Linked DNA regions of Oryctolagus cuniculus. The protein of the gene in region 4 interacts with the protein of the main gene of each other region in a biochemical or structural test. Links are inferred from orthologs where the notes say so. Each region holds a gene or a part of one and is shown on either strand. Other genes may lie near its edges. The genes, in order: PTPN11, LAT, MAP2, GRB2, SPRY2, CSF3R and WAS.

What was found.
Region 1: the proteins of GRB2 (region 4) and PTPN11 form a complex in vitro, tested with the Homo sapiens proteins (4 studies listed by BioGRID, with this or other methods). The link is inferred for Oryctolagus cuniculus from reciprocal best matches to the Homo sapiens genes GRB2 and PTPN11.
Region 2: the proteins of GRB2 (region 4) and LAT form a complex in vitro, tested with the Homo sapiens proteins (3 studies listed by BioGRID and IntAct, with this or other methods). The link is inferred for Oryctolagus cuniculus from reciprocal best matches to the Homo sapiens genes GRB2 and LAT.
Region 3: the proteins of GRB2 (region 4) and MAP2 form a complex in vitro, tested with the Homo sapiens proteins (3 studies listed by BioGRID and IntAct). The link is inferred for Oryctolagus cuniculus from reciprocal best matches to the Homo sapiens genes GRB2 and MAP2.
Region 5: the proteins of GRB2 (region 4) and SPRY2 form a complex in vitro, tested with the Homo sapiens proteins (2 studies listed by BioGRID and IntAct, with this or other methods). The link is inferred for Oryctolagus cuniculus from reciprocal best matches to the Homo sapiens genes GRB2 and SPRY2.
Region 6: the proteins of GRB2 (region 4) and CSF3R form a complex in vitro, tested with the Homo sapiens proteins (2 studies listed by BioGRID, with this or other methods). The link is inferred for Oryctolagus cuniculus from reciprocal best matches to the Homo sapiens genes GRB2 and CSF3R.
Region 7: the proteins of GRB2 (region 4) and WAS form a complex in vitro, tested with the Homo sapiens proteins (2 studies listed by BioGRID). The link is inferred for Oryctolagus cuniculus from reciprocal best matches to the Homo sapiens genes GRB2 and WAS.

The regions. Positions count from the first base shown.
Region 1 is NC_091452.1:9,757,496-9,761,346, forward strand, and holds part of PTPN11 (tyrosine-protein phosphatase non-receptor type 11), read left to right. Parts: intron 1-1,829; coding exon 1,830-2,022; intron 2,023-3,080; coding exon 3,081-3,197; intron 3,198-3,851. UniProt on the Homo sapiens protein: Acts downstream of various receptor and cytoplasmic protein tyrosine kinases to participate in the signal transduction from the cell surface to the nucleus. Positively regulates MAPK signal transduction pathway. Dephosphorylates GAB1, ARHGAP35 and EGFR.
Region 2 is NC_091450.1:7,782,533-7,787,155, reverse strand, and holds the start of LAT (linker for activation of T-cells family member 1), read right to left. Parts: upstream 2,920-4,623; 5' UTR 2,669-2,919; coding exon 2,566-2,668; intron 2,435-2,565; coding exon 2,404-2,434; intron 2,291-2,403; coding exon 2,256-2,290; intron 2,062-2,255; coding exon 1,992-2,061; intron 1,866-1,991; coding exon 1,801-1,865; intron 1,536-1,800; coding exon 1,331-1,535; intron 1,245-1,330; coding exon 1,150-1,244; coding exon of another isoform or gene 1,138-1,149; intron 1-1,137. Other genes in the region: SPNS1 (protein spinster homolog 1), read right to left, coding at 3,688-3,782, 3,922-4,093, 4,288-4,386, 4,616-4,623. UniProt on the Homo sapiens protein: Required for TCR (T-cell antigen receptor)- and pre-TCR-mediated signaling, both in mature T-cells and during their development.
Region 3 is NC_091434.1:30,478,742-30,483,181, reverse strand, and holds the start of MAP2 (microtubule-associated protein 2), read left to right. Parts: upstream 1-1,552; 5' UTR 1,553-1,778; exon of another isoform or gene 1,779-2,057; intron 2,058-4,440. UniProt on the Homo sapiens protein: The exact function of MAP2 is unknown but MAPs may stabilize the microtubules against depolymerization. They also seem to have a stiffening effect on microtubules.
Region 4 is NC_091448.1:5,230,485-5,233,900, forward strand, and holds the end of GRB2 (growth factor receptor-bound protein 2), read left to right. Parts: intron 1-1,540; coding exon 1,541-1,709; intron 1,710-2,209; coding exon 2,210-2,395; 3' UTR 2,396-2,744; downstream 2,745-3,416. UniProt on the Homo sapiens protein: Non-enzymatic adapter protein that plays a pivotal role in precisely regulated signaling cascades from cell surface receptors to cellular responses, including signaling transduction and gene expression.
Region 5 is NC_091440.1:31,925,741-31,930,165, forward strand, and holds the start of SPRY2 (protein sprouty homolog 2), read left to right. Parts: upstream 1-1,466; 5' UTR 1,467-2,144; intron 2,145-3,197; exon of another isoform or gene 3,198-3,884; intron 3,885-4,425.
Region 6 is NC_091438.1:136,224,799-136,227,819, forward strand, and holds part of CSF3R (granulocyte colony-stimulating factor receptor), read left to right. Parts: intron 1-336; coding exon 337-550; intron 551-1,431; coding exon 1,432-1,617; intron 1,618-1,938; coding exon 1,939-2,040; intron 2,041-2,615; coding exon 2,616-2,762; intron 2,763-2,872; coding exon 2,873-3,013; intron 3,014-3,021. UniProt on the Homo sapiens protein: Receptor for granulocyte colony-stimulating factor (CSF3), essential for granulocytic maturation. Plays a crucial role in the proliferation, differentiation and survival of cells along the neutrophilic lineage.
Region 7 is NC_091453.1:33,876,181-33,879,077, forward strand, and holds part of WAS (actin nucleation-promoting factor WAS), read left to right. Parts: intron 1-495; coding exon 496-670; intron 671-1,642; coding exon 1,643-1,685; intron 1,686-1,873; coding exon 1,874-2,027; intron 2,028-2,211; coding exon 2,212-2,897. UniProt on the Homo sapiens protein: Effector protein for Rho-type GTPases that regulates actin filament reorganization via its interaction with the Arp2/3 complex. Important for efficient actin polymerization. Possible regulator of lymphocyte and platelet function.

The DNA.
Region 1 (3,851 bases), on a different chromosome or scaffold from region 4:
CTGCCAAATGCCTGCCCCTGCAGTGTTTTATTAGAACTTCCTTATGTGGCTATGATAGAAAAATTGGTCTTTTAAGAGTGGGCAATCAAAAAGGGCAAATTGCGTTTTTAAAAAATGAGAGATTTGGGGCCGGTACTGTGGCCCAGCAGGTTAACGCCCTGGCCTGAAGCGCCAGCATCCCATAAGGGCGCCGATTCTGGTCCCGGCTGCTCCTCTTCTTTTTTTAATTTTATTTATTTATTTATTTTTTTATTTTTTGACAGGCAGAGTGGACAGTGAGAGAGAGACAGAGAGAAAGGTCTTCCTTTGCCGTTGGTTCACCCTCCAATGGCCGCCGCGGCCGGCGCACCGCGCTGATCCGATGGCAGGAGCCAGGTGCTTCTCCTGGTCTCCCATGGGGTGCAGGGCCCAAGCACCTGGGCCATCCTCCACTGCACTCCCTGGCCACAGCAGAGAGCTGGCCTGGAAGAGGGGCAACCGGGACAGAATCCGGCGCCCCAACCGGGACTAGAACCCGGTGTGCCGGCGCCGCAAGGCGGAGGATTAGCCTAGTGAGCCGCGGCGCCGGCCTCCGGCTGCTCCTCTTCTGATCCAGCTCTCTGCTATGTCCTGGGGAAGCAGTAGAAGATGGTCCAGGTCCTTGGGCCCCTGTACCCAAGTGGGAAACTTGATAGAGGCTTCTGGCTCCTGGCTTCATATGGGCGCAGCTCTGGCTATTGTGGCCATTTGGGAAGTGAACCATCAGATGGAAGACCTCTCTCTCTCTCTCTCTCTCTCTCTCTCTGCCTCTCCTCTCTCTGTGTAACTCTGACTTTCAAATAAATAAATAAATCTTTTTTTTTTTTTTAAATGAGAGATTTAATTGAAAAACTGGAAGACATTTGTCTCCAAATGACTGTGGGCTCTTTTAAAAAGTCGAGTGGTCATTGTAACATTTTTGTCATTTTCCCGTCTTCCTGGACTGCAAATTCTGTCTTATGTGAGATTGATGAGTCCCTTGCCGGGACTAATTCGTAATTGTCTTAGGAGAGCTGACTATATATGGTAGTTTTTTGTTTATTTATTTATTGATTGATTGCTATTTCCTTGAAATTTATATAAACTTTCTATATAATCTGCCATACAGTGCCATGTGCCATGCTTAAAAATCATTTCAGACTGGCCGGTGCCGTGGCTCAGTAGACTAATCCTCCGCCTTGCGGCGCCGGCACACCGGGTTCTAGTCCCGGTCAGGGCGCCGGATTCTGTCCCGGTAGCCCCTCTTCCAGGCCAGCTCTCTGCTGTGGCCCGGGAGGACAGTGGAGGATGGCCCAAGTGCTTGGGCCCTGCACCCCATGGGAGACCAGGAGGAAGCACCTGGCTCCTGCTTTTGGATCAGCGCGGTGCACTGGCTGCAGCGCGCCAGCCGCGGCGGCCATTGGAGGGTGAACCAACGGCAAAGGAAGACCTTTCTCTCTGTCTCTCTGTCTCTCTGTCTCTCACTGTCCACTCTGCCTGTCAAAAAAAAAAAAAAAATCATTTCAGTGATGAGAAGGATGCTTTGTATCCAGAACATACGTGTGGACGATCATATGAAATCATAGATAGGATCTGCAAAATATCATACGAAATTGCAAGAGCAAGCCAGTTAATCCAGTGGCATACTGTCTTGAGTAGGGAAAATGTGGTGAGGCTATGAATTTTGCTTGTGAATGAATGAGGCAGTGGTCCTCACCTGGGGTTTTACTCTGCAGGAAACGTTAGCAATGACTGGAGTGTTTACGGTAGTTTTAGAAAAGAATGTTGTGAACTGGCAGTGGAACTCAATTTGTTTTCATTCTTAAAACCAGGTGGTTTCACGGGCACCTCTCTGGGAAAGAAGCAGAGAAATTATTGACTGAGAAAGGAAAACATGGCAGCTTCCTGGTCCGCGAGAGCCAGAGCCACCCTGGAGATTTTGTTCTCTCCGTCCGCACTGGCGACGACAAGGTGGAGAGCAATGACGGCAAGTCCAAGGTGACCCACGTCATGATTCGCTGTCAGGTAATGCTCCGCCCGGCCTGCAGGGCTGCAAACTGTCACCCTGGGGGGTTTTCACCTGCGAGGAGACAGATGCTGTGCGGCCCAGGTCAGCGTTTCTGCGCTTAGTCAAGGGCTTCTGCACTTGTGGTATGTTGATTATAACTGTTTCAGGATTTCAAAACTCTTTTGAGTTATTTACTTCCAGGTTATCTCTGGCAGATTAAATCATGCCTAACAACCCCCTCTCCCCCCATGATGGGAATGCTTGAGATCTACTCTTCTAGCAAAGTCCAGTCTGACAAGACGTTTTTACTGACTGTGGCCCCTGCGCTTCCGCATCCTACTGAAAGCTGTGCACTCTGGCCAGCCCCGCCCCTTGCCCCAGCCCCTGGTGACCACTGTTCTGCTCTGTGTCACCATGGGTGTGTTTTTAGCTTCCAGTTGTGAGTGAGCTCATGAAGTGTTTGCCTTTCTTTCCTGGCCTTTTACACTTATGTAATGTCTGCAAGTATAATGTTGTCACACATGTCAAGATTTGCTCCCCCTCCCCCCTTTTATGGCCGAATAATTTTCCAGTGTTTGTGCATGCACACATATACATACACACACCACATTTTAAAATAAAGATTTATTTATTATTTGAGAGGTAGAGTTACAGAGAGAGAGAGAGAGAAAGGTCTTCCATCCACTGGTTTACTCCCCAAATGGCTGCAGTGGCTGCAGCTGGGTCGATCTGAAGCCAGGAGCTTCTTCCGGATCTCCTGTGTGAGTGAAGGGGTCCAAGCACTTGGGCCATCTTTCACTGCTTTCACAGGCTATAGCAGAGAGCTGGATCGGAAGAAGAGCAGCTAGTACTTGAACCAGCACCCCTATGGGATGCCAACACCACAGGCAGAAGCTTAGCTTTCTGTCCCATAGCACTCCCCCCTCCCCCATTTTTATTCATCTGATCCGTTGCTGGACGTGTAGGTTGTTTCTGTATCCCATCTATTGTAGATATTGCTGCCGCGAACACAGGAATGCAGGAAGCACAATAGTTAAACACAAAGGTAATACATGCCGTCTTTTTGTCTTGAAAGGAACTGAAATACGATGTTGGTGGAGGAGAGCGGTTTGATTCTCTGACAGATCTGGTGGAACATTACAAGAAAAATCCTATGGTAGAAACCTTGGGCACAGTGCTGCAACTCAAGCAGGTAAGTGGCTCAGAAAGCTACAGCTCCTTCTCCTTTTAAAGTTTTGAAACCCCAATTTAGAGTTTTCCGAACTTACAGGGGTAGACAGAGTAGCGCTGTCAACGTCCATGTGCTCGTTCTTCAGCCTCAATTGTAACTGATTCTTTAGTCCTTCCTTCTGTATGCTGTGTTCACTGGCCACCTCCGTGGTGTCTGGAAACCAAGTCCAGATGTTGTGGAATTCCACTGGTGTCTGTGAAGAGCCTGATGGCTTTAGAGGAAGCTTTCAGCATGGATCCACTCTGGTTGTTGTTAGGTGACCACATGGACATTAAAGTTGTTGCTATTTCGGAGTTCACCCTTATGACAGTGGCAGATGATAGAATTTTTCAAAATAATGTTGTGGTCTATTTATAAAGAAAAATAGGATTGAATTTTTATCAGCAGAGTAATGTGTGTGTGGAATTGAAGAAAGTTTCGTTTCCTAGCAGCACAGAAGAGAAGGTGAAACTGCATTTGAAAACTTAAATAAATTATTATTATTTATTTTCATTTTATTTGAAAGAGAGTCAGAGATAGACAGAGAGAAGGCTTCTATCTGCTGATTCCCTTCCCAAATGGCCACAACAGTCAGGACTGGGCCAGGCCAGAGCCTGGAACTCAGTTTGGGTTTCC
Region 2 (4,623 bases), on a different chromosome or scaffold from region 4:
CCTGCACCTGTGTGGGAGACCCGGAAGAAGCTCCTGGCTCTTGGCTTCGGATCAGCCCAGCTCCGGCCATCTGGGGAGTGAACCAGCGGATGGAAGACCTCTCTCTGTCTGTCTGTCTCTCTCTCTCTCTCTGTAACTCTGCCTCTCAAATAAATAAAGTGGCAGCCCTCAGCCAGCACGAGACGCTGAAGTCTCTGTGCTTTGCCTCAGTGGCTGTCACAGCCTGGCCTCAGCCCCACGGAGGCATTTGCAGGACAATGGGTGACAAGTGAATGAATGGATGGATGGATGGATGGGAAGCAGCACTGGGACAAACTGATGCAGCCCAGGACTTGGGATGGTGAGGGACGGCAGCTTGCAGGTGCGGGAGCCAGGGACCAGCACACGTAGCAGGCGAGAAAAGCCCCGGGGTGAAACCAAACTGAAGGGAGAAAGGCAGCTCCAAGGGGAGCAGAGGAAAAGGCGCCCCCTCCCCCAGCCATGTGTGCGCGCACACACACACACACACACACACCATCAGGTCCTCAGACCGACCAGATGGCGGTGGGCACTGGGCACAGCGGTGAAGACCCTGCGGGGGATGCCCACAACCTGTATTCCCAGCTCAGAGAGCCTGGGCTGGAGCCCCCTGCCCCTCCCCCTCCACTCCCAGTTCCGGCTTCCTGCTGCGGTGTACCCTGGGAGGCAGCCGTGGACGGCTCGAGCGGCTGGGTTTCTGCCGCGCACATGGCTGAGTTCCAGGTTCCAGGCTTCAGTTAGGCTGAGCCTTGGCTGTTGCCGGCATCTGAGCCACTGCCTCTCAAAATACATTTTTGCAAAATTTCTTTTTAATCTTTAGTTAAAAAAAAAAAACAGAAATGTACAAGATGCTATTGCCTCCATGAAACAAGAACAGGGGGCTACAAAAAAGGAACATGCAGAGACCCAGAAAGAACTGGATAGGAGGGGAAAACATATATACAGCACAAGGGCTGCGAATAAAGGCAAGGACATCTCCCAGACAATAAAGGAGAAATCAAGGCCAGGGCAGAAGTCCGGCACCTGCAGCAGGGGAGCCCTGGAGAGGGAGCACAGGGGAGCGGGGTCGCTAAAACCTTCACAGGGCAGGGGAGCATGCGGGGGGGGGGGGCCCGGCACCTCCTGACTCACTGGAGAAGGCACTGTCTCGGAGACCAGGGTTTCCGGGCGCAGGGGCGGAGGGGCCAGGGCCGCTGGTGGCCGGGCTGTCATCGGGAAGCACCTCCCTGAGAGTGAACCAATGGGGGAGGGGGTGAGGAAGCTCGCCCGGGGCCCCAGCACCCACCTGCCCACCTGCCCCCTTGCCACTCACAGGTAGCCCTCATTGTGAGAGTCCTCCTCATCCTCATCTTCATCCGCGTCCTCACAGGCCAGCTCTGCGGGCAACGACACGGGGTGGGGAGAGCTCAGCACAGCCCGAGACAGGCCCCCGCCTCCCCACCCGGCTGGGCCCCCCAACCCCGCCGCCCCCGGCAGCCCAAACGCACCCTCGTTCTCGTAGCTCGCCACGCTCTGGGCTTCAAGGAGAGAGCAAGAGGGAAACTGAGTCAGCTCAGGGTTGGGCTTCCTCGGATGGGTGAGTGGGTCCCCTCCACCCTGTGCCTGTCCCCCGCAATTCCCCACGGAGGGCTGGGCTGGGGGTGGGGGGTCTGGCTCGGCTCCAGCCCCCACCCGTGTCTCTTGCCAGTTTGTATATCCCTGTGAGTTTGATCAAACCGCCCTGTGAGTAGTTGGAGGCACCCCTGCCTTCCCGGCAGAGTGGGGGTGCCCTGCCACACTTACCGCCACCAGAGTCCCTCCGGGAAGACGGCATCCGGTGGGAATCCCCAGGGGGCTGCGGAGATCTCCTGGGAATCAAAGGTCAGAGGTCACACTCAATGCCAGGAGGGTTACAGCAGGGCGGGGCGGGGGGCACTGGAAAAACAAGGGAGTAGAGAGAGATTTGGAGGCGAAGGAGTTGGGGGGCTACTCACGGGATGGGGAGCAGGTCTGGCTGGCTCAGGGGTGGAACGGAGGTAACAGCCGGCCAGGGGGCAGGGGTATCTGAGGACACAGAGCTGAGCTGGGAAGAGTGACTTCCGACCCGCATCTCCCGCCTTCCTCGAAGCCCTGGTGCCCTGACCGCCCCCCACTCCCCATCCCAGCTCAAGCCAAGGCCATGTGGGCAACCTAGAACGAGGGGACACCCAACGGAGGGAGCCTCTCTCCCGGAGGCAGGGGCGCCTCCAACTACTCACAGGGCGGTTTGATCAAGATGCTCCTGGGATACAAACTGGCAAGAGAGACACAGGTGGGGGCTGGAGCCGAGCAAGACCCCCCACCCCCAGCCCAGCCCTCCATGGGGAATTGCGGGGGACAGGCACGGGGCGGAGGGGACCCACTCACCCATCCGAGGAAGAGGCACTGTTGTAGGAGTCTGGGGGAAGAGAGCGGTTGGTGAGGCAGGGGCCAGGGCTCGGGGCGGTGGCAGGCGGAGGCAGGCGAGGGAGGCCGGGGACTGTACAGCGACTCCAGCAGGTGCACCCCCGCCCTCAAGCCCCTGCTCACCTGACAGCCGGCGGCAGCGCACACACAGGGCCATTAGCAGCACAGCCAGGAGCGGCCCCAGCAGGAGGCCCAGCGCCGAGTGTCCAAGGACGTTCACCTCCATCTGCTGGGCAGAGCCTGGCCCAGGTCCTCAGGGAAGGGCGCAGCGGTGGGGGGTAGGGGGCAGCGGAGCCCTCTGTGGGGGCTGGGCTCTGTGCAAGCTCTGGGGGACCCTAGCCCCCTAGGTCAGGCCAGGGCCCGGGCTGGGGTCCAGGGCTCCAGCCACGCCATGCAAGCGTGAGACGGGTCCCTGCACCCCAGCGGTACCTGCCCTGGGCCAGACGCCCGCCTGGCCTCGCCTCGCCTCGGCGCCCGTCCTCGGCAGGAAGCTGTGGTGAGCACCGGGTGAAGGCAGGAAATCATCGGGCTCCCAGCCCGCTGCACCGCCCCTTCCCACCCCCACCCAGCCGGTGGGGAGGGGGAGGCCTCCCCGTCAGGGTTCTCACGAAGGGACACTTGCCCGTGGGACGAGGGGCAGCTCCTCCGTGGGAGTGAAGGCCTGTGGCAAGCCACCGGGGGTCGGGGTCGGCGGCAGGCATTCCGCCAGGCAGAGGGCAGCGCCCACCCCAGCTCGCCCAGGCTGGCCAGGGGTTGTGTGCGGAGGGGGGGGCGGGCTCCAGTAAGCCCGGCCGTGACTCAGGGTCACACGGAGCCAGCTCACTGGCACGGCGGTCCTCACTGCTGGGCGCTTAGCCCCACAGCACAGGGACTGGCCCGGTGGCCCCCCGGCAGCGCCCCCGCCGCCCCCAGGAGCCCTGGGGCTGGAGATGGCCAGCCAGAGGTCAGGGGTCACCAGCATCCAGACAAAAGACTCAGGTAGGCACTTGGGGTCTGGCTACAAAGTTTATTCGGTTACAAATAGCACCAACCCCCTGGGGCTGCTCCAGTGGAGGGGACCCCACCCCTCCCCACCCCAGACCCCCAACTCCTCCCCTAGGCTGCCCATGTAGTGTCTGGGAGCTGGACAGGGCCCAGGGTCCCTCCTGGAAGCTGGGCCGGGCTGAGGGCTTAGGCCCGGGCACCTCGTGGGACGGGCCCCAGGGCCCGCGGCGGCAGATGTGCGGACAGGTGAGGGACGGCCACTCAGATGAGCACACTGGACACGGGGACCCTGGTGGAGCGGCCACGCTGCGGCACCACGATGCGGTCATCTGCGGGCCCTGCCTCGGCCAGCAGACCTGTGGGGGGCGGGGTCAGAGCCAGGGCTGGAAGGTCAGCTGGAGCAGACCCGCAGAGCCACCACCAGGAGGAGGACACAGAGCCGCCAGCCCCAGCGCTGAGACAGCGGCCGGGAGCCAGGGCGGGGCCCGCACTGACCCTGCACGTGCAGCTGCGCCCGCCGGCGGTCACCCTCGATGAACATGGCGGTGCCCAGGAAGGCGGCCCCGCCCAGCGCCCCGACGAAGGCGCAGAGCATGAGCGAGAACTGCAGGGCCCGGAACTCGGACAGGAAAGATGGCGGCCAGCTGCGGCGGAGGCGGTCGGAGATCTGCGGGGGGCAGGGCGGAGCGTCGGGGGCGGCCGGGACAGCCATGGGAAAGGGGTGGGCCCTCAGGGACTCTGCCAAGACAAAGCCCTCCCCACCCAGGGGAGGCTATAGGGTGCCCAGCGCCTGCAGCCGCCCAGGTAGGCCACCGGCCAGTGCTGGGAGAACAGGACCCCCAAGCCCGGGGTGAGGCTCACCAGGCCGATGAGGTAGGGGCTCCCAGCGTCGCCCAGCAGGTGGGACAGCACGATCTGGAAGGCTTCGGCGGTGGAGCGTCGTGTGGGGATCACCACGTACTGGGGGAGGGGGGAGGGAGGGGCCTCAGTGGAGGCTCTCGGCGAGGTGGGGGGGAGAGGTGGCGCAGGACAGGGCCATGGCTCAGCCTAGGCTGAGATCACAGGTGTGACAGGGGTCAAGGTCGCAGGCCCCTCGGGGGCTGGGCTTTGCAGAGCACGTGGGGCCCCGACCCTAGTCCCTGCTCCCAAAGCTGAGGGCAGCGGGGGAGAGGGCTGCCCGGCCACTCACCAGCAGAA
Region 3 (4,440 bases), on a different chromosome or scaffold from region 4:
TATTGAGCAATTGCACATGTGTGCCAGGCCATGAATGGCAGCTGCTAACAGTGTAGCAGACTTCCCACTCCTGCTCTCTCTCCACATACTGCATATTATTTCCCAGTCTCCTAAGACTTCCTCCTAAACAGACTACCTTCTGAGGAGGAGCCCTAATTCCCTAACCTCCTTGTTACTGGGTGTGCCCTCATGTTTCCAACCTCATTCAAACATCACTAGGACACTTGAAAAAGTGAGGTGGAGGCCAGCAGGACACAAAGTGTGGGGTGTGACTGTGGAAGTTAAGATTTCACATCCTACTCTATCAGGCTTTCTTATCTTTGTAGCTTCTATTAATTGGGTTTCTTTTTCCATCTGAAAACTGAGGAAGTTGAACCAATGCCTAAGAAATCAGCTGTGATGTTCCATATTCTGTGTCTCATTTAAGTGGCAAAACCAGATGGCACCTGCTGTTTCATCAGCACTGTTGAAACTGTGTGGCCACACCTCACTACCTTGGCTGACCTTGAAAACATCTTGTCAGTACTCCCTACAAACACCTGATGTAATTTAAGGTTGCTTCTTACTTGTCTTAATAAAGTGCTGCTCTTTGTGAGGATTCCATAGTAAGGGATCATCTGATTTCTTGGTTGTCATTTCACTTTCAAAAGCGTTTATGAGGTGACTTCTTACATGGTGACATAGTAAGGTGTTTTCTGCGTGTTCTTATTTGTTGTGTCATTTTCCTTTTTCCTCAAAGACCATAAGAGAGAGGTAGCATGGCCATTTTCAGTCCTCTTCTGACACATTAATGCACGGGGATTTACATGGCATGAACTGTCTTCTAGAATGTGAAGTCTCTGAAGGCAGGGATCTTCTTTCCCGGGGGTGGGGAGTGCTAGCATCTGTTACATGCACTGATATTTCCACAGTGCCTAGAACAGCAGCCGATGCACCGCAGATCTCAGTAAATACTAGTTGAATGAACAATCTGATTAGTGACAGCTGGGTCTAGAATTCTCTGCGTCTCAGCCATTGCTCCTTTAGCGCTGACAGGAGTTGTCCTCTGTCCGCGTGCTTTCTTAGTTTTCTTTCGTTGATTCTTCCTGGATGCACCTGTCTTAGCTTTCTGGCTGCAAGGCCAGGGAGCTTCCTCCACTGAAGGGTCCCTGGAAGACACCCCCCCCCCCCGCCCCCTTACAGGCATACAGGGTAGGAAAGGAAGGGCGTCCAAGGCGGGCTCTTTGGTGACACTACCGCTATGGCCCCTGATTTCCAAGGCCCTTAGGGAAGGGGGTCTCGCTGGTGGGGGGCTGGGGCACCGGCCCAGCGTCCGTGGGCGGGGCTCCCGGAGGCGGGCTACCTCGCTGTCCCCGCGGGGCGGCCGGCTGGCTGCGGCAGGAGGCGGGGCGCCGCGCTCCCCCTCCCGGACACTGCGGCGGTGGCAGCGCCAGCCGGGCCTCAGCCGCCGACCGGCTCGCAGAGTCCGGCGGGCCCAGCGCGGGGCGGGGAGGAAGGGCCGGGGCGGGGCGGCGGCGCTGGGAGCCGGCGGCTGGGGCGCCGCGCTCAGACTGGGCGGGCGCGCGGGCTGCGCGGGCTCACGGCGGCGGCGGCGGCGGCAGCAGCATCCTCCCCTCTCCCTTCCCTTGCATTCTGCTCCTGCCGCTTCCCTCTCCTTCGTTCCCTCCCCCTTCTTCTCCCGCCCCGTTCTCCCCTCCACTCCTCCTGAGTGCATTCGCTCTCGCAGGTCCGTGAGCCGTGGCAGCCGCGACCGCGGGTGCGCCCAGTTCTGCGCTCAGGTAAGAGATTGTCCCCATCTCCTACTCTTAGAACGCCTCTCCTGTCTCCTGTGTGCGCGGAGGGAGCCCCAGCCCGGGATGAGAGGTGGCAGTGGGTAGCGGGTTGTCCGCAGCTCTCGGACTGGAGAGCTGGCACAGGTCGGCCGAGCTGTCCTGTCTCCCACCTGACGGAGGCGCCTGGCCGGACCTCTCCAAGTGTCCCGGGTCCGGGCACTGGTACCTGGGCTCTCGGCTTGTCTTGAGAAGCCAGTGATCTTATTAGGTACCAGGTTGAAACGCCTGGAAATTCACATTGGATAAGGATACATGTTTGAGCGCTAGCATTACCTGAGCCTTAGAAAACAGGGGAGGAGATTGTACAACGAAAATAGAAAACAAAAAACCTCGAGGTAGAGGCTTTTTAAAAAGCATTAGCTGCAGAGAACCTCACTGGACTGTGTGTGAGAGAAGCTTTGTCCATTGCAAACTATATCCCCCTCTGTCAGTCCTCCAGAGACAGCTGAGAGGAAGACGAATAAATATTTATAATTTTAGGAAAATGAAGAAGTCAGTGTGATGGTGTAGGAGGGTGGGGCACGGAGAAAATGAGTCTGCTTTAGCCTGAGCTCCCACATCGTCTTTCTTTCTTTCTCCTCTATAACCGTAGAGGTAGAACCCTACATTCGCGGTCCCTCAACTCTTTTTCTTGTTAAAAGGTGTTTTTTTTTTTTTTTGGGCGGGGGGGACCACAGCGCAGGCTTCCTTTCCTTCCCAACCTCGCCTTTTGTTTAAGGATGGAAATTTCAAGAAACAGCGCGTGGGGGACCAGGAGGGAGGAGGTGTGTGTTTGGGTGTGTGTGGTGGGGGAGGGGTAGCAAAGCTGATGGAGTAGGGGAGATACACCATCCTTGAAAACGGAAAATTCATGTTTTTCTGCTGGGCACCGGGCCTCCAGGACTTAGAAAATAGAAAGCTTTGATAGCAGCAAGGCCGTTTAAGACAGTTACTGTGTACCTTTTGCCTTAAGCCCTTAGTAGAATGCTTCCAGTACATAGACCTTTTTAAAACCGAATTGGTGTGAAGGGGTTCTGTTTCAATGAACACACACACACCCACACACACACACCCACACACCCGTATACACACGTATCATGTACTATGTACATCTTCCAAAAGGGAGTTGATGCTTAAAAGACAAATCTTTTGAAATTTCTCTGAGGATTTGAGGACTATACTGTGAATGAAAGCTGTAGCGAAAAATTAACCGAATATTGCTGGTGGTATGTAAGCCTGGATGTGAGGCAAAGGGGCTGGCTGGTCAGTGTTGGGAAGGAACTAGGTTAAATGTTAAAGATATAATTTATTGAAAAATGATCAGCCTGAGAGGAAATGACTGCAAACTGAAATTGAGGTTTGCAGCCACAGTGAGGCGATGGAGAACAAAGCCTTTTATGTGAGCCACATTATGCAAAATGTCCCATACATGAGCTGTAGGTACCAGCCCAGTTTAAAAGCATAGCTCTGTCACTCAGTCATGTCACTGTGGGCAATTTAGGATATTTTTGGCAGTCAGAATAGATTAAGCAAATAGAAACCATTTAGATCACTTTTGATGTTATGCCTAAGAGGAAGATTGGTGTTCCAACCGAATGTAAAAAAATACACCCTTTAACTGAGTAATAACTATCTGTATTTTAGTAGAATTCTTCTCAATTTATAAGTCACAGGTGTTTCAATCAACCTCCATGTACAGAAAGCAAATCCCCTTCAAGAAAAGGTAAAAGGTGTTTTTTTTCTTCAATAAAGAACATTGTGTTTGTGCATGTGTGTACATGAGAATTAACATGGATTTCCTGGAGTCTTTATCTGATTATCATAGATTTATATCTGCATTCTTGGTTTATGTACTATCAGAGCCATTGTGGTTTTAGAATCAGGGGCACATGCTGTTTATAGTTAATTCTTTTATACTTCATAGGTTGGTATAATATTTAATTTCTAAAGTTTTTGTTTTTTTAATCAGCAAGTGGATAATTATTTAACATCTATGTAGAGCGTCAAGAATTTTAAAAACTGAGGTCTCTTTCTAAAACATAACAAATTATAATACTTTCTATTTTCTCTGTTATTCTGTTCATTTTTACCCTCTTATCAAACCCGTTGGTTCCTGGCTGGGCCTCTGCTGCCTTAGGCATCTAGTTCTGTCTAGACGCCCAGAAGCAGAGCCTGTGTTCTCAGGAATTTTGACTGTAGGATGTGTTCATTCTCTGCAGCAGCTCTTTCGGGATGACTTGTTTACAGCACCTTGTCAGGGAGGAGAGGCAAGAGGAATGTGCTGAGAGAGCATGACCCAGTGAAACTGGCACAGCCATTACCTCATCCTAGTAGGTACTTCAGATTCATTGAAAGAGCAGGCATCCTCTCAGTGGAAACCAGACACCAAGAGCACACCCATTTCAGGGCAAAAGCCTTTCTTTTCCCATAGCAGCCTCTACTAATGTTGTTCTCCTGAGGCTAAGGGGATATTTTCTCTTTTATGTGTTTCTTTGCAGGGATCTTGAACTTGGTCAGAAGTATGCAGCCAGAAATGAAACTTGGCACAGAATACGGCTAAGCCTGAAGGAACAATTTCATTCCTTTACTCCTTTTGGTTTAAACCAATTTGCAAATTTTTCTGAATGTC
Region 4 (3,416 bases):
CATCCACTGGGGGTCTTAGAACCCCCCGCAGCACACACACACACACACACAAACCACACTATGGATAGTGGGGGAGGGAATGCCAGGGCCACTGGATTGTCTTCCCCCAACCCCACTTGGTATCCTGCACTCCGGCTTCCTTGAAGCCCAGTCCTGCCACCTGCTGGCTGTTTTTGGAAAGTGTTGGCTTCTTTAGGCTTTAATACTGAAGGAGGGCCTTTGACGTTAAAATTATCTATTTACTTATTTGAAAGAGTTGCAGAGAAAAAGAGAAATCGGCTGCAATGGCCAGCACTAAGCCAGGCTGAAACCGGGAGCTTCCTCCCAGTCTGCCACGTGGGTGGCAGGGACCCAAGCACTGGGGCCTTCGTCTGCTGCTTTTCCTACGCCATTAGCATCCAGACTTGACCGTCGCTCGTATGGAATGCCAGCATTGCAGGCGAGGGCTTTACCTGTTATGGCGCAATACCGACCCAAAGGAGGGCTTTGAGGAACACGTGCTCACTGAGTCCTTGGAGGATTCAGCAGGGAACGGGACAGCAGGTGTCACTGGCAGCTCTGTGTTGCTGGCCAGCATTAAGGGGAGTGGATTTTCTGGCGATGGAGGGTGTGGGGACTTTGGTGCCTGGGCCTCTTTTGCTGTCCCAGTACATCCTTTTTCCCCCCACGGCCTTTATCCCGTGAGTAGAACTCAAATCCCCAAGTGGGAAATGACTGGAGTATTTCTGGTACCTGGAGCTTTGTTGAGCGTATCTGCTTCCTCACCTTATTTTCTATCCCACCTTTGAGATTTTAATTATTTTTGCTTGAAGCGTAGTTAATTAAGGTATATTCCTTGTCTTAAGTGAGGCTGATGTAGTTGGTACAGTGCAGGGCACAGCATGGGTTGGGACATTCCTTTTTTTTTTAAAGGTAATTTACATGAAGGGCAGAGTTGCAGAGACAGAGGAGATAAAGACAGAGAGCGGTAGGGGCGGCGGCGGGTGGGGGGGGTCTTCCATGCTCTGGTTACCTCCCCACATGGCCGCAATGACGAGGACTAGGCGGGTCTGAAGCCAGGATCCTCTTCCAGGTCTCCCACACGGCGGCAGGGGCCCCAGATATCGGACCATCTTCTGCTGCTTTCCCAGTTGCATTAGCAGGGAGCTGGGTCAGAAATGGAGCATCTGGGGCTTGAACTGACACCCGCATGGGATGCTGGTGCCACGGGCAGCGCCTCTGCGCAGTGTGCTGCAGCGCCGGCCTCATTCTCCATCCCATAAATGCCTGTAGAATTAGACCGAGTGGGGCCTGGCCTGTCCCGTGAGGGCTCTTTGTGTTGTTGCGGGTGACCGTCAGTCACGGTGAGGGTCTCGGCACGCTCAGCGGCCGTCCCACCCTCTCCAGCCAGGCTCAGTGGCGTGTAGCCAACCGGCCCGCAGGCTGTGAGGAGCGTTGCCAGACAGTGGCTTTCTCTGGACCCCTCCTGTTTGGCAGAGGGCCTCATGGGCCAGGCCAGAGCCCTTTGACCCACGTGCTGTGTTCTCTGCCCCACCCCCAGGTTTGGAAATGACGTGCAGCACTTCAAGGTGCTCCGAGACGGAGCGGGGAAGTATTTCCTCTGGGTGGTGAAGTTCAACTCCTTGAATGAGCTGGTGGATTACCACAGGTCGACGTCTGTCTCCAGAAACCAGCAGATATTCCTGCGGGACATAGAGCAGGTGCCGCAGGTAAGGCTGGGGCAGAGTCGGGCTCACCTCCAGCGGTTAGGAGCAGGTGCCTTTCAGAGGGTCACTTCCAGCCCCCGTGCTCAGGACATCACCCTTAGCTCACACAGAGGCCTGCGGTTTGCAGTCAGGTGTGTGGCTCGCTCACCACCTGTCTGTCAGCTATTCTGTCCCGGGAAGAAAACTGTGAGGGGTGTCCTGTAGGGAGGGTTGGGGCCTGTGCTCGCACCTGTGCGCCTGTCCCTGGCGGCCCAGCTGAGTCCACCACCTTATGTTTTCAAGCTCATCCAGATGTTTTGACTGCAAACCCTCGAGGGTGTTGGCAGCGACAGGAGCTCAGAGGTGTTGGATCCTGGGCTGTGCAGGAGCCCAGACTCCCAGGGGTGCTGACTATGCTGCTGACACGCCCTGGGGAGTGCAGCCCCCGAGCGTGGGTGCCCAGCGCAGGAAGGACTCCAGGCTCGGGGTGTCACACGCGTGTTTTCCCTGCTCCTCTTTTGCAGCAGCCGACGTACGTCCAGGCCCTCTTTGACTTTGACCCCCAGGAGGACGGAGAGCTGGGGTTCCGCCGGGGAGATTTCATCCATGTCATGGATAACTCTGACCCCAACTGGTGGAAGGGGGCTTGCCACGGGCAGACCGGCATGTTCCCCCGCAATTACGTCACCCCCGTGAACCGGAATGTCTAAGAATCAAGGGGAGGTTATTTAAAGCCGTGAAAAGTTGAAAACACGAAAGAATGACAGCCCCGGGCTGCCTCTCCCAGCAGCCTTGCAGGAGCCCGGACACCTGGCTGGGTCACCTCACGCCCGTGACTCTCTGACCTGGGTTGGAACTTCGGGGGGTGGGAGGGGGCATTGGATATAAAAATGCCAAAACTTACCTATTAAGAAAAGAGTTTTTATTACAGATTTTCACCGCTGCTCCTTTGCCCCGCCTTTGTCCTTTTTCTCGTCCTTTTTCTCCCGTTCTTCAGTGCATGACGTGTAAGGCCACGTATAGTCCTAGCTGATGCCAATAATAAAAGAAAAGAAACCACGTGCGCTGGTATCTTCTCTATGCAAAATGTCTGTTTAGTTGGAACAACTACTGCTGTGTTCTCCGTGCGTGCACACAGAAAGGAGCAGGCGGGCAGCTTCTGCCGGGTCAGGGTGGCGTCCGCGGGCCCAGCCTGGGGCTGTTCTGTCGGGGGTGGGAGGGAGGCGTGTCACCTGCCCCTCGGCTTCCTGAGAAAGTCGGACTGAAAGCCTCCGTCGCTGGCTCCACGTGGGAGCGGCGTCCCTGAGCATTGCTGTTTCCCATGGTGCCTTTCCCCATGTCCCGGGTTGCTTAGGAGGGATGTGTCTTACTTGTTTTGTTTTCAGATAAATTAAAGACAGTCCAAATTGGCCTTCCAGCCGGTTCGTCTCCCACTCTCTGTAAATCCTTTTCCCTCAGGGGAGGGGAAAGCAGGGTAGAGGGAGGAGACAGCGGAAGGCGGGGAGGGGGGCGTTCTACCCGTACCAAGCCAGAAGGCCAGGGTCTGAGGGAGCCGCCGGCCCTGGTGTGCCGGGGAAGGGCCGGCTGCAGCTCTACGGCGTCTGGCTGGATCTGAGTCCTTGCCTTGTGGTCCGGGTATTGTCTACCCTGCCGACCCCAGAGACCCCCGCTCAGACCCCTGGAGCCAGCAAGTCTCAGACACAGGAGAGCCAGTGGAGGAAGTGCTGTTAG
Region 5 (4,425 bases), on a different chromosome or scaffold from region 4:
CGGGCCAGAGGCCCGGCTGTCGCACCCCCGCGGCCCCAAGGACGCCGCGTCGCGGGCAGACATAACCTCGTCCGACCTTCCCAGAGCAGTTGGGGGACGTAGGCGCCTGCCCTTGCCCATCTCTGGTTCCAAATCCCAGGGGAGGAAGGAAGGGAGCCCTAGAGAAACATGGAGAAGGCAGGGAGAGCGCCAGGGACATTCTGCAGCAGGAACCCGGGGTCGCGTGGAGGAACGAAGCGCCATGGTGGACCCCCGTGTGGGGCAGAGCTGTGCAGGTGCTGCTCGGGACCTGCGACCTAGCAGGCAACTGCTTCCCCGCCTTTAAGTCCTCAGAATGCGCGGTTAGAGGTGTGCGTGCGCGCATTTCGATCCGCCACCGGGGCTCCCACGTGCAGGCACGTTTCTGAGCAAATGCACGTGCATATGTATAGGACTTTCTACTGAATGCCTTCAGCACGGGCCGTGGGGGCTTCCGGAGAAGGGTGGGAAGGGACAGATGACTGCTGACCGGGCCGCGGAGAGACCCGCGCCGGGAGCGCCCTCCCCCCACCCCCATCTCGGAAGCCCACGACAGCGCCCCGAGATCGCCGAGCTGACTTTGAAGAGCAAGGCTGCAGCCTCTCCCTCGGCTGCTGCGTCCGGCGACGCAGAGAGCTCTCCCTGCAGCCACCGTCTGTCTCCCTTAAAACACGAAAATTCTAATAAACTCCCAGTCGCCACAATCCAGCCTGAGCAGGAGGTACTTGAAACCCGAATCTGCATTCCGCTCCTCTCGTACAAGGCTCGGAGGTGGGGGAGGCGCGGCTGGGGCCGGTGCCTGGTGTATAATCGGGTTAATCCGGGAGACAAAGAATAAACCAATAGCCCTCCCACCGCACTTCCCGCTCCCCTTCCCCCACCCCCACCGTGTAGAGGGGGAGCAGCCGAGGGGCGAGCAGACTCGAAATGGATTCCGGATGAAGTCTTAAAAACCTGCAACTTGTTTTTCATTGCTAACGCGGCACGGCCCCGATCAGTCTCTCTGGCGGCGAGAGAAAGTTCCATAAATCAGTCCGAGCCTCCGGCTCATCCTCCTGGCCTCGGGGGGTGTCAGGGGTGGGGGTTGGGGGGGGCCTTAAGGTCAGTGTTTCCTTGAAGCTGGATAAACCGACCCCGTCGCGCGCAGCCGGGCTCCGCGGGCGCCCCGCGGGACGGCAGGAGCGGCCCGGGGACGCGCGGGGCGGCGCGGTTGCCCTTTTGAATGCCTCCTGCGGCTCGGCGCGCTGGCGGGCGCTGGAGTGTGAGTGAATGTAGCCCCGCGGAGCCAATGAGCTGGGACCGGATGCGATATATCCTCTGGGACAACAACTGCTCTGTTCCGCCTCGGATCCACATGACGCCATTTACTGCTGCCGCGGCCGCCGCAGAACTCCCTGCCTCCTCCGGAAAGGCGAGGGCGCAGGCCAACAGCGAGCCCCCCCGGCCGGGCCCCAGACCCCCCTCCTCCTCCGCCTCCTCCTCCTCCGCCTCCCCCTCCTCCTCCTCCTCTTCCTCCTCCTCCTCGGCACCCACCGCCCCCGCCTCGGCCTCGCTGCCGAGCCTCCACAACGCCCAGTCTGCACCGCCCAGAGCTGCGCGCCGCAGCGCGAGCGGAGGAGAGGGGCCGGCGGAGCGCGCAGCGCCCAGGCCCCCGCGCCCGCCCGGCCCGGCTCGCGGCCGCCCGCGCCTCCGTGCCACCGCTGCGCCGACGCGGCCGGGGCCGCACGCCTTGGCGATCTGGCTTCTAGGGTCTTTCTGTAAGGCCACTTTATTTTCTCATTCGCTCATCTGCCAAGAACGGGGACTCGCTGTTGGCGCTTCGGCCTCTTGTTCATTGAGAAAAAAAAAAAAAAAAAAGGAAATACTCCGCGTGCGCTTCTGCAAGGGGGCTCGCCTCCAGCCCTGAAACCCGGAGTTGTTCATCGGCGAGGGACTTGGCTCCGAATTTTTCGCTCGTATTTTTCTGTTTTGTTTTGTTTCCTCCCGCCGATTGCTCGAAAGTTGGACTGAAGCAAAGTTTGGAAAAAAAGGGGGGAAAAAAAGTTTGCATCGGGGCTGGATTTATTTGCACATCGCAGAAAGAAGAGACTCCAAGGGAGAGGGGTTGGTGCAAAGCCGCGATCACGGTGAGGCGCGTTTCGCTCTTCCTCTGCTGGCGCCGTGGCTGGCGCGGTGTGGGCAACATGGAGTAGGTGCAGTTGGACCGGGAGTGGGGTCTGCCTCTCCCCCGAGCCTCGCTTTCTCAAACCCCGCAGGTTGCCGGCGAGCTGCCGGCAGATTTCCCTGGCCGAGGACCTGGGCTCGGCCTGCCTGGGAGGGGGCTGCAGTGTGCGCCCCGAGCGATGTCCCCCAGCCGGCGACCCTGCGCTCCCGCGCGCTGTGGGCTTGGGTCGGAGGACGGCTCTCCCCTGGTCTGTTCCCAGCCCTGCGTCGACCGCGAATTCGGCGCTGAGAGCGGGAGACGGAGGGAAAGCACTTTGTGCTTCTCTGGCCGCCGTTGCGGGCGCTAGCATTTCTAACCTGTTCCTCCCTCCTTGCGAGGCAAAGTTTTCTGGGGGAGCCTGTCCCGGGGCGGGGGCGCCGGTGGGGCCGGGGTGCGTGGGGTGCTCGCCCCACGCGGGCAGTAGGCCCCGCGGGTGGAAAAGGGGCGAGGGTGCGTGGTGCAGGCAGCCCCCGCCGCTGCCCTCTGTGGACAGTCTGGCCCACTGAGGGTGGGAGCGTCGCCCAGCCTGGCGCCGAGGCTCTGCGGTTCGGAAGTGCAGCTTTCTCCTTTTTCCGTTCCCCGTGATCGGCCTGGGTCACGCTTTTTTTGGGGGGGGGGGGGTGGAGGGGAGAGCTTGGGTTGACCTAGTACATTAGGAAAGTCATCGAGTGTGTGCGATCGTTTTGCATGACCTGAAAGTAGGTGGCAGATGAGGCTCGTTTGTAAGTTCTCCGGTTTATGTTGTAGTCGCTGTCGTTTAATTTGGGATCTTGTGCACTTTTTTTTTTTACAAAGCGGTTTCTGTGTCGGTTTGCCCCACCCTAAGTGCTGAAGTCCTTTCCCCCCCTAATCCTCAGTCTGATCACACACTGTTCTTAATGGGGTTTTCAAAGCACTTCGAGAGGGAGGGGGGACCGGGGAGACGGGGAGAGAGCCGAGGGGGAAAGGGGGGGCTGCAAGGAGGAGGCCGGGGATCGGCAGAAATCACTTTTTTTTTTCCGCTTCCCAAAGATGCTACTTTACACTGTATGCAAATCTACCTCTAAAGTTTCCAACCCAGGGACTGGATCCTGCACGCCTGGCGTAGGCTCTGGGCCCTGGGGGAGGGGGACGGGTTATTTTTTTTTTTTTTTTTAATTAAACTTTAAGAAACAGATCATTCCTGTTTCCCTTCCCCTCGACCCAGGAGACCGGCGTGCGCGCTACAAGCCATGCCCGCTTCAGTCGGTGCGGCGTGCAGTGGCCGCGTGCGCGTGGGTCAGACTCCCCGGGCTCCATTGGAAACCTGAGCTCCACGTTCGCGGACCCCTGCAGACGCGTCGTGGGCTGCGTGACCTCTGCCTGCTGGTGCGCGGCTCCCTCTTGGGGCTGGCAGGCGGTTCTCGGGAGCTGGGGAGGGGCAGGCGGGGGAAGTGTGCTCGTGCGTTTCATGACACGTCCCCTTCCGAGGCGCCCGCGCCCCCCGCCGGTCGGTGCGTCTCGGCCCCGGCGCGGCGGGGCTGGGGGCCCCCTGGCCCCTGGACAGCGTCAGTCAGCCTGGAGAAAAGTCCCCCGGGCTCCGGCTGTGTCCCACCTGCCGGGGACGGTGTCTGGGCGCAGATAGAGCCGATAGACCGAGGGGAAGCCGAGCGCCGCGTTGTCCTGTGTGCTTGTCCTGCTAGAGGTGAGGAGATCCGGTTTCCAGGCGCTGCCTGGTCGCGAGCTGGGAGGCGATTGTCACCTGCCTCGCTCACCGCGGCGCTGCCTTTTGTAAAAAGCGGAGGTTGGGGAAACATGCACTTTTGCCCGTTTTGACTTTTTAATGTTCGTGTAGTGTTGGGAACGGGGATGGTAGTTTTGAGACTTAAAAGGGGCTGCGAGCCACGGGTTTGCTGGACAGAATGCTGGGTTTGAGATGTGGCGCTTGGGTTTTTAAAACACGTTTCCTGTACTAACGGTGGGTTTATGCTCTCGACTGTTAACTTTCCGAGAGGAGAAAAGTTAAGATTTTGACACATTTTATGCCTAAAACGGGGAGAACAGCCTTTAGCTGCAGACCCTGAGGTGTTCCGGGCTATCAGGCTGTAAAATGAGCCCCAGGTTGCTGAGAACTTGAGAATAAGTCCCTGTCTTTCTTGTTCCTCGTTGTGTACCTCTGCTGTGATCTGTTCCTGGCACCTAACAGCGTTTGATTTGATTTGTTTTTAGTTCTGTAGCTTGCCCTT
Region 6 (3,021 bases), on a different chromosome or scaffold from region 4:
CTTGCTTGCATTTAAATGTGATTTGCCTGCACTTTGCATGTGCCCAGGAAGCTGCATGGGGACCTCTGGGGGAAGCCACAATGCAGGAGTCACCCATGCCCCAAAGGGTCAGCTCAGCGGATAGTTAAGTGCTTTCTGTACGCGCCAACTTGCTTCTTCCCTCCCCGCTTCCTAGAACCTGGCACAAGGGAACAGGGGGAAGGAGTGAGGGATGAAAAGCCTGGCCCCAATCTGGGACTCAGTTCTAGGTCCCATCCACCCCACTTTTGGAGGCTTGGCCTCACTCAAGATGAGCTGTGCACCTGCTTATCATTGCTTTTCTGCCACCCGTCACAGCCAACACCCCAGGAGGAAGAGAGCGGGCAAATCCAAGGGTATCTGGTCTCCTGGAAACCCTCAGGCCAGGCTGGGGCCGCCCTGCCCCTCTGCAACACCACGGAGTTGGGCTGCACCTTCCACTTGCCTCCAGGAGCCGGGGAGGTGGCCCTGGTGGCCTACAACACCGCTGGGGCCTCCCAGCCCGCCCCAGTGATCTTCTCGGAGCACAGAGGTACAGGGGGCTAAGAGCACATGATTACGGCGTGTGAGTTTGGAGGCCAGATTGCTGGGTTCAAAAGTCATCCTACCACTTGGTGACAGTGTGAACCGGGCAGGCGACGTCCCCTCACTGGCCTCACTGTTCATCTGAAAAATGGGATAACTGCCTGCTGGGGACTGCTGTGAGGAACACATTAACTAAGACACACGCCTGGCACAAAGGAACTGCTTGGTGCATGTTAACGTTCATGTCCATCAGAGCCAGGTTAAGGTGGTGCTGGTGTCTAGACTCACGCGCGCACACACACATACACACACACACACACAATCCATTCTGGCAGAGCATGGTCCGTGAGTTAATGGCTCAGTCTTAGGGGATCAGTCCTCAGCACCCCAGTATCCCCTAAACATGGGCCCGCACCAGGAGGACCACTGATCCCAATCACAATCGCAATAGCTAACACTTCCACCTCCCAGCTGTGTGGCCTTAGATAAGCTGCCTGACCTCTCTGCACCTTCTCATTGATAAAATAGAGACAATAGTACTACCTCCCTCCCTGGTGTGATGGTGAGTGAGCTAGCAAATACGAGGACAGCACGGGGCCTGGCTCTTACCAGCCCTAGCAGTCCTCATTCCCCTACTGCTACTCCGTACTTGGCCCCAAGCCAGGTTTGTCCTGTGCATCATCAGCTCACTGAATCTGCACCAGGACTCCGTGAGCTGGGTACTTGGGTCATTGTTTCCACGTCACAGATGAGCAAGGCTCAGATATCGACCCAACCAAGGTCGCCCAGCCTGGAAGTAGCAACGTCAGGATTCGAACCCAGGCTTCTGGCTCTGGAGTCTGGATTCTTTTCACTTTCGTTTCACAGTTTCCCACTCTGTCTCTCCAGGTCCACCCCTGGTTGGGCTCCATGCTGTGGGCCAAGACCCCCACAGCCTCTGGGTGGGCTGGGAGCCCCCCAGTCTTCAGCCTCAGGGCTATGTGATTGAGTGGGGCCCAGGTGCCCCCAGCCCCAGCAGCAGCAAGACCTGGAGGGTGGAGCAGGATGGGAACCTCACAGGGACTCTGCTTCGAGGTGAGGCGGGAGCAGTGGTGTGGGCGGGGCTGGGGGTGGGGCGAGGCAGTGCATTCCCATGGGGGGGGGGGGGGGCAGAGCCAGGGTAGGGAAGCAAACTCACTGTCCGTGTCACAGAGCCCCACGCCCAGGAAGTCCTTCCCATGAAGCACTCACTTCTGCACTCTTTCTGCAGCCCGGCCCCCGCATCCTTCCAGCTCTCCTTCCACTCCTCATCTTTCACACCCATCAAAGGACCTGAGAAAGACATTGCAAAGAGAGAGCTGAGGTTGGCTCCTGCGCAGGGCCTAACCCGAGTGCTGCCCCCTTCTCTCTGCACAGAGAACGTCAGGCCCTTCCAAGTCTACGAGATCGCCGTGACTCCGCTGTACCAGGCAGCCGTGGGACCCTCCCAGCACATCTATGCCTACTCCCAGGAGACAGGTTCACCTGCCGTCAGCCCCCCTCCCAGAGTCCTCTCCTCCCCAGCCAGCACCCAGCTGGGCCCCAGCAATCAGGAAAACGATGAGACAGTTCCCTCCCCCCTACTCTGGCCCTGCGGAGGCTCTCACCTGATCCCACCATTACCCACCCACCCACTCCCCCCCGCCCCGGTCTCCAGAGCTGGGCACAAATCAGGTGGTGAGGTGGGAAAACTTAGGCAGTGAATTTGGCAGGATTCCGGGAGCAAGTCTTGAAAAATCAATCAACCGCCCTGACAGGTGTCAGGTGCGATAGAAAATGAACGAGGGCCTGGCAGAAGTTCAGAGAGTGAATGGCAGAACCGAGTAGTGCTTTGGACAAAATCAGGTGTGGGAAAAGTCAGGGAGTGTGGTTTAAATGGAACCGGGTTCTAATCCTGGCTCAGCCACTTAGTAGCAGCAGGTGGAGTTCAGATACAGTCCCCGGAGAGGTGAGGCTTGGACATGAGCCCCCTCGGAATCCCTTTCCTCGCCCACTCTGCAGTGTTCCAGGGAGCCGCATGGAACCTTCCGCCCTGTGCCTCTGTCTTCCCACAGCCCCCTCTCACGCCCCGGAGCTGCAACTCAAGCACATTGACAGGACCTGGGCACAACTGGAGTGGGTGCCTGAGCCCCCTGAGCTGGGGAAGAGCCCCCTGACCCATTACACCATCTTCTGGACCAACACTCAGGACCAGTTATTCTGTGAGTCCACCCTCAGCTCCCTGCAGTCCCAGACGGCCTGAGGGGGTGCCCAGCACCATGGAGACGGCTCCAGCATCTGGGCCCAGCCTTACCCTGCACTCCACTTCCAGCCACCACTCTGAATGCCTCCTCCCACGGCTTTGTCCTCCATGGCCTGGAGCCGGCCAGTGTGTATCATGTCCACCTCATGGCTGCCAGCCAGGCCGGGGCCACCAACAGTACGAGTCTCACCCTGATGACCTTGGCCCTAGGTAAGGCA
Region 7 (2,897 bases), on a different chromosome or scaffold from region 4:
GATGAATAAGTGCATAGACAGGTGGCAGATAGATGGCTGAGAGGAGGGGATGAATTTGTGGGACGCTGAAGGCATAAACAGATACATGACTGGGTGTGTAGATGTGTCAGTGAATGGGTTCGAGAATAAATGGATGATATGGGAGATTGCATGAAATAGGAAGTGAGTGAGTGAACAGTGAATAAATGACATAAAATTCCAGTCAGTGAAGAAAGCAATGATTGGATGAAAAATTGGGTCAGTGAATGAATAATTTAACAAATTAATGAGTAAGTGAATGACTGAGTCAATACTTTAAGTGATAAGCACGAATTAAATGGTTATTAATGGTTTATGGGATCCACCCATTTCTACATTGAACCACTTGGACCCCTCACTCATTTTCTCCATGACCCTCTCTCCCCACCCCCCACCCCCAGTCTTCCTGTTTCTTGCCCCTGTACTTGGTTGGTAGGTAAGTGGGTTAATGGTCCAGTCACCTTATTTTCTCCATAGGCCCACAAACTGGCCCACTGTCCTTGGGGCTGGTGACAGTGGACATCCAGAATCCTGACATCACAAGTTCACGATACCGTGGGCTCCCAGCACCTGCTCCTGGCCCAGCTGATAAGAAACGCTCTGGAAAGAAGAAGATCAGCAAAGCAGATATTGGGGCACCCAGTGGATTCAAGTGAGAACCTCTCCCCAGTAGATCTACCAATTCCTGGGGATGAAGGGGGGTGGCTTATGAAGAGCTGAACAGCTAGGTGGATGGAAGAACTGTCAGATGGATGAGCAGCTGGCTGCAAGGAAGGGACTACAGAGAGGCAAATAAGTCACATACCATGCAAAATTCAAGGAGGCAGTTGCTCTCAGGGTCGTGCAACTGGAATTCATGCCTCAGAGAGTGAGTGCCTCCTTAAATTTTGTAGCCTTGGCACCTGTCTCGTCTTACCTTAGTCCCTTAGTCCCATCCTTGGTAGGCTGGTGGACAAGTGAGGTTGATGGTACAGGAAGTGGATGAGTGGAAGGGTGGATGGATGGGTAGATGAATGAATGAGTAGGTGGGTGGATAGATGGGTAGATGACTTCAGTGGTGGACAGGTAGACGGATGGCTGAGCAGATGAGTGTGTGGACATTATAAGCTGAATGATTCGCAGACAAGGTGGATAGGAAAGGAGAGGTGGTCAGATATGTGGGTGAAGACAGTTCCGTAGATAAGTGAACAGAATGATGTGGTTGAATAGGCAGAAAAATGAGCGGCAGGATGGAAAGGGGGGCATAAGGGTAGATGGATGGGTGGACAGACAAGTGTGTATGAGGACAGATTGGTGGACAAGTGGGCAAATGGTAGGGGTGGCTCATGTGTGGGCTGATGGGGAGGGGCCGATGTCTGTAGAGATCAGTGATGCAAAGGATGGGTGTGAATGGATAGGTGGATAATTGAGTGGGTAGATGGTGGGAAGACAGGTAGACAGATCGACATCAAACCTACAGACCCCTTCTCTTTCTCTTACTGCTCACACTCGTGCACTCATTTAGACTCATTCACTAATTCTGCCGCTCAGGATCTGTTTGAGCAGGAGAGGGTAGGAGGGCTCACTAGGAAGGGAGGAAAGAAAGGGCAGTGGGGCTTCACTGGAGTCTCCTCACCTCCTCCAGACATGTCAGCCACGTGGGGTGGGACCCCCAGAACGGATTTGACGTGAGTAACTCCAAAGTCCCCTGGTACCCACTCAACTTCCACCCACCTTTTCCTAGATCACTGCTCAGAGCCCATATCCAAACCCCATGCTTCCCACATCCCTGGCCAGGATGGACCCAATGACAATTCCTATCCTCTCCCTCCTCACCTTATTCCTTCGCCCCTGCCTGGGTCCTTTTCCGGGGCAGGTGAACAACCTGGACCCGGATCTGCGGAGCCTGTTCTCCAGGGCAGGAATCAGTGAGGCTCAACTCACTGATGCAGAGACCTCCAAACTCATCTACGACTTCATTGAGGACCAGGGCGGGCTGGAGGCTGTGCGGCAGGAGATGAGGCGTCAAGGTGAGGCCCCTTCTCTACACCCGCTTCTTCTCCAGCCCTGAAGCCACCCAGTCCTTGCAGAACCCCCTGTTCTGCTTGAGTGGGGAATTGGTCAGGCGGAGGGACCCATTTTACAAATGAACAGAACTGAAGCTTGCAAGAAAACGACAATAATAGCAGCTGTGTGTTATTTTTCCCCCTACAGAGCCGCCCCCACCGCCATCTCGAGGAGGGAACCAGCCCCCCAGACCACCTCTGGCGGGGGGTAACAAGGGCCGTTCTGGTCCACTACCCCCTGTACCTTTAGGGGGCGCTCCGCCCCCACCCACGCCCCGAGGACCCCCACCCCCAGGCCGAGGGGGCCCTCCACCACCACCCCCTCCAGCCACTGGCCGCTCTGGACCACCGCCCCCTCCGCCCCCTGGAGCTGGGGGACCAGCCATTCCACCTCCCCCGCCCCCTCCCCCACCGCCACCCCCCAGCTCCGGGGATGGGCCAGTGCCTCCCCCGCCCCCACTTGCTCCGCTGTCTGGGGGTTGCATGGCCTCTGGAGGGGGTCGGGGGGCGCTTTTGGATCAAATCCGGCAGGGAATTCAGCTGAACAAGGTGAGGACCAGCAGAAGGGAGGACTGGGGTCTGGGACTCCGGGGTGTCAGGTGCAAGTCAGCATACAGGGAGGCGGAGGCTGAGACTGATGGGGGTGCCAGGCCTTGGGGTTTAGTGCTAAGCTTGGGAGGTGGGTGGGGAGCCTTGAAAGGGATTGACGTGTGGGAGGAAAAATTACAAAGAAGGGGCGGAAGAAGTACTGAAACTCTCCTTGCTGCAGACTCCCGGGGCCCCAGAGAGCTCAGCCCTGCAGCCGCCACCGCAGACCTCCGAGGGGCTGGTGGG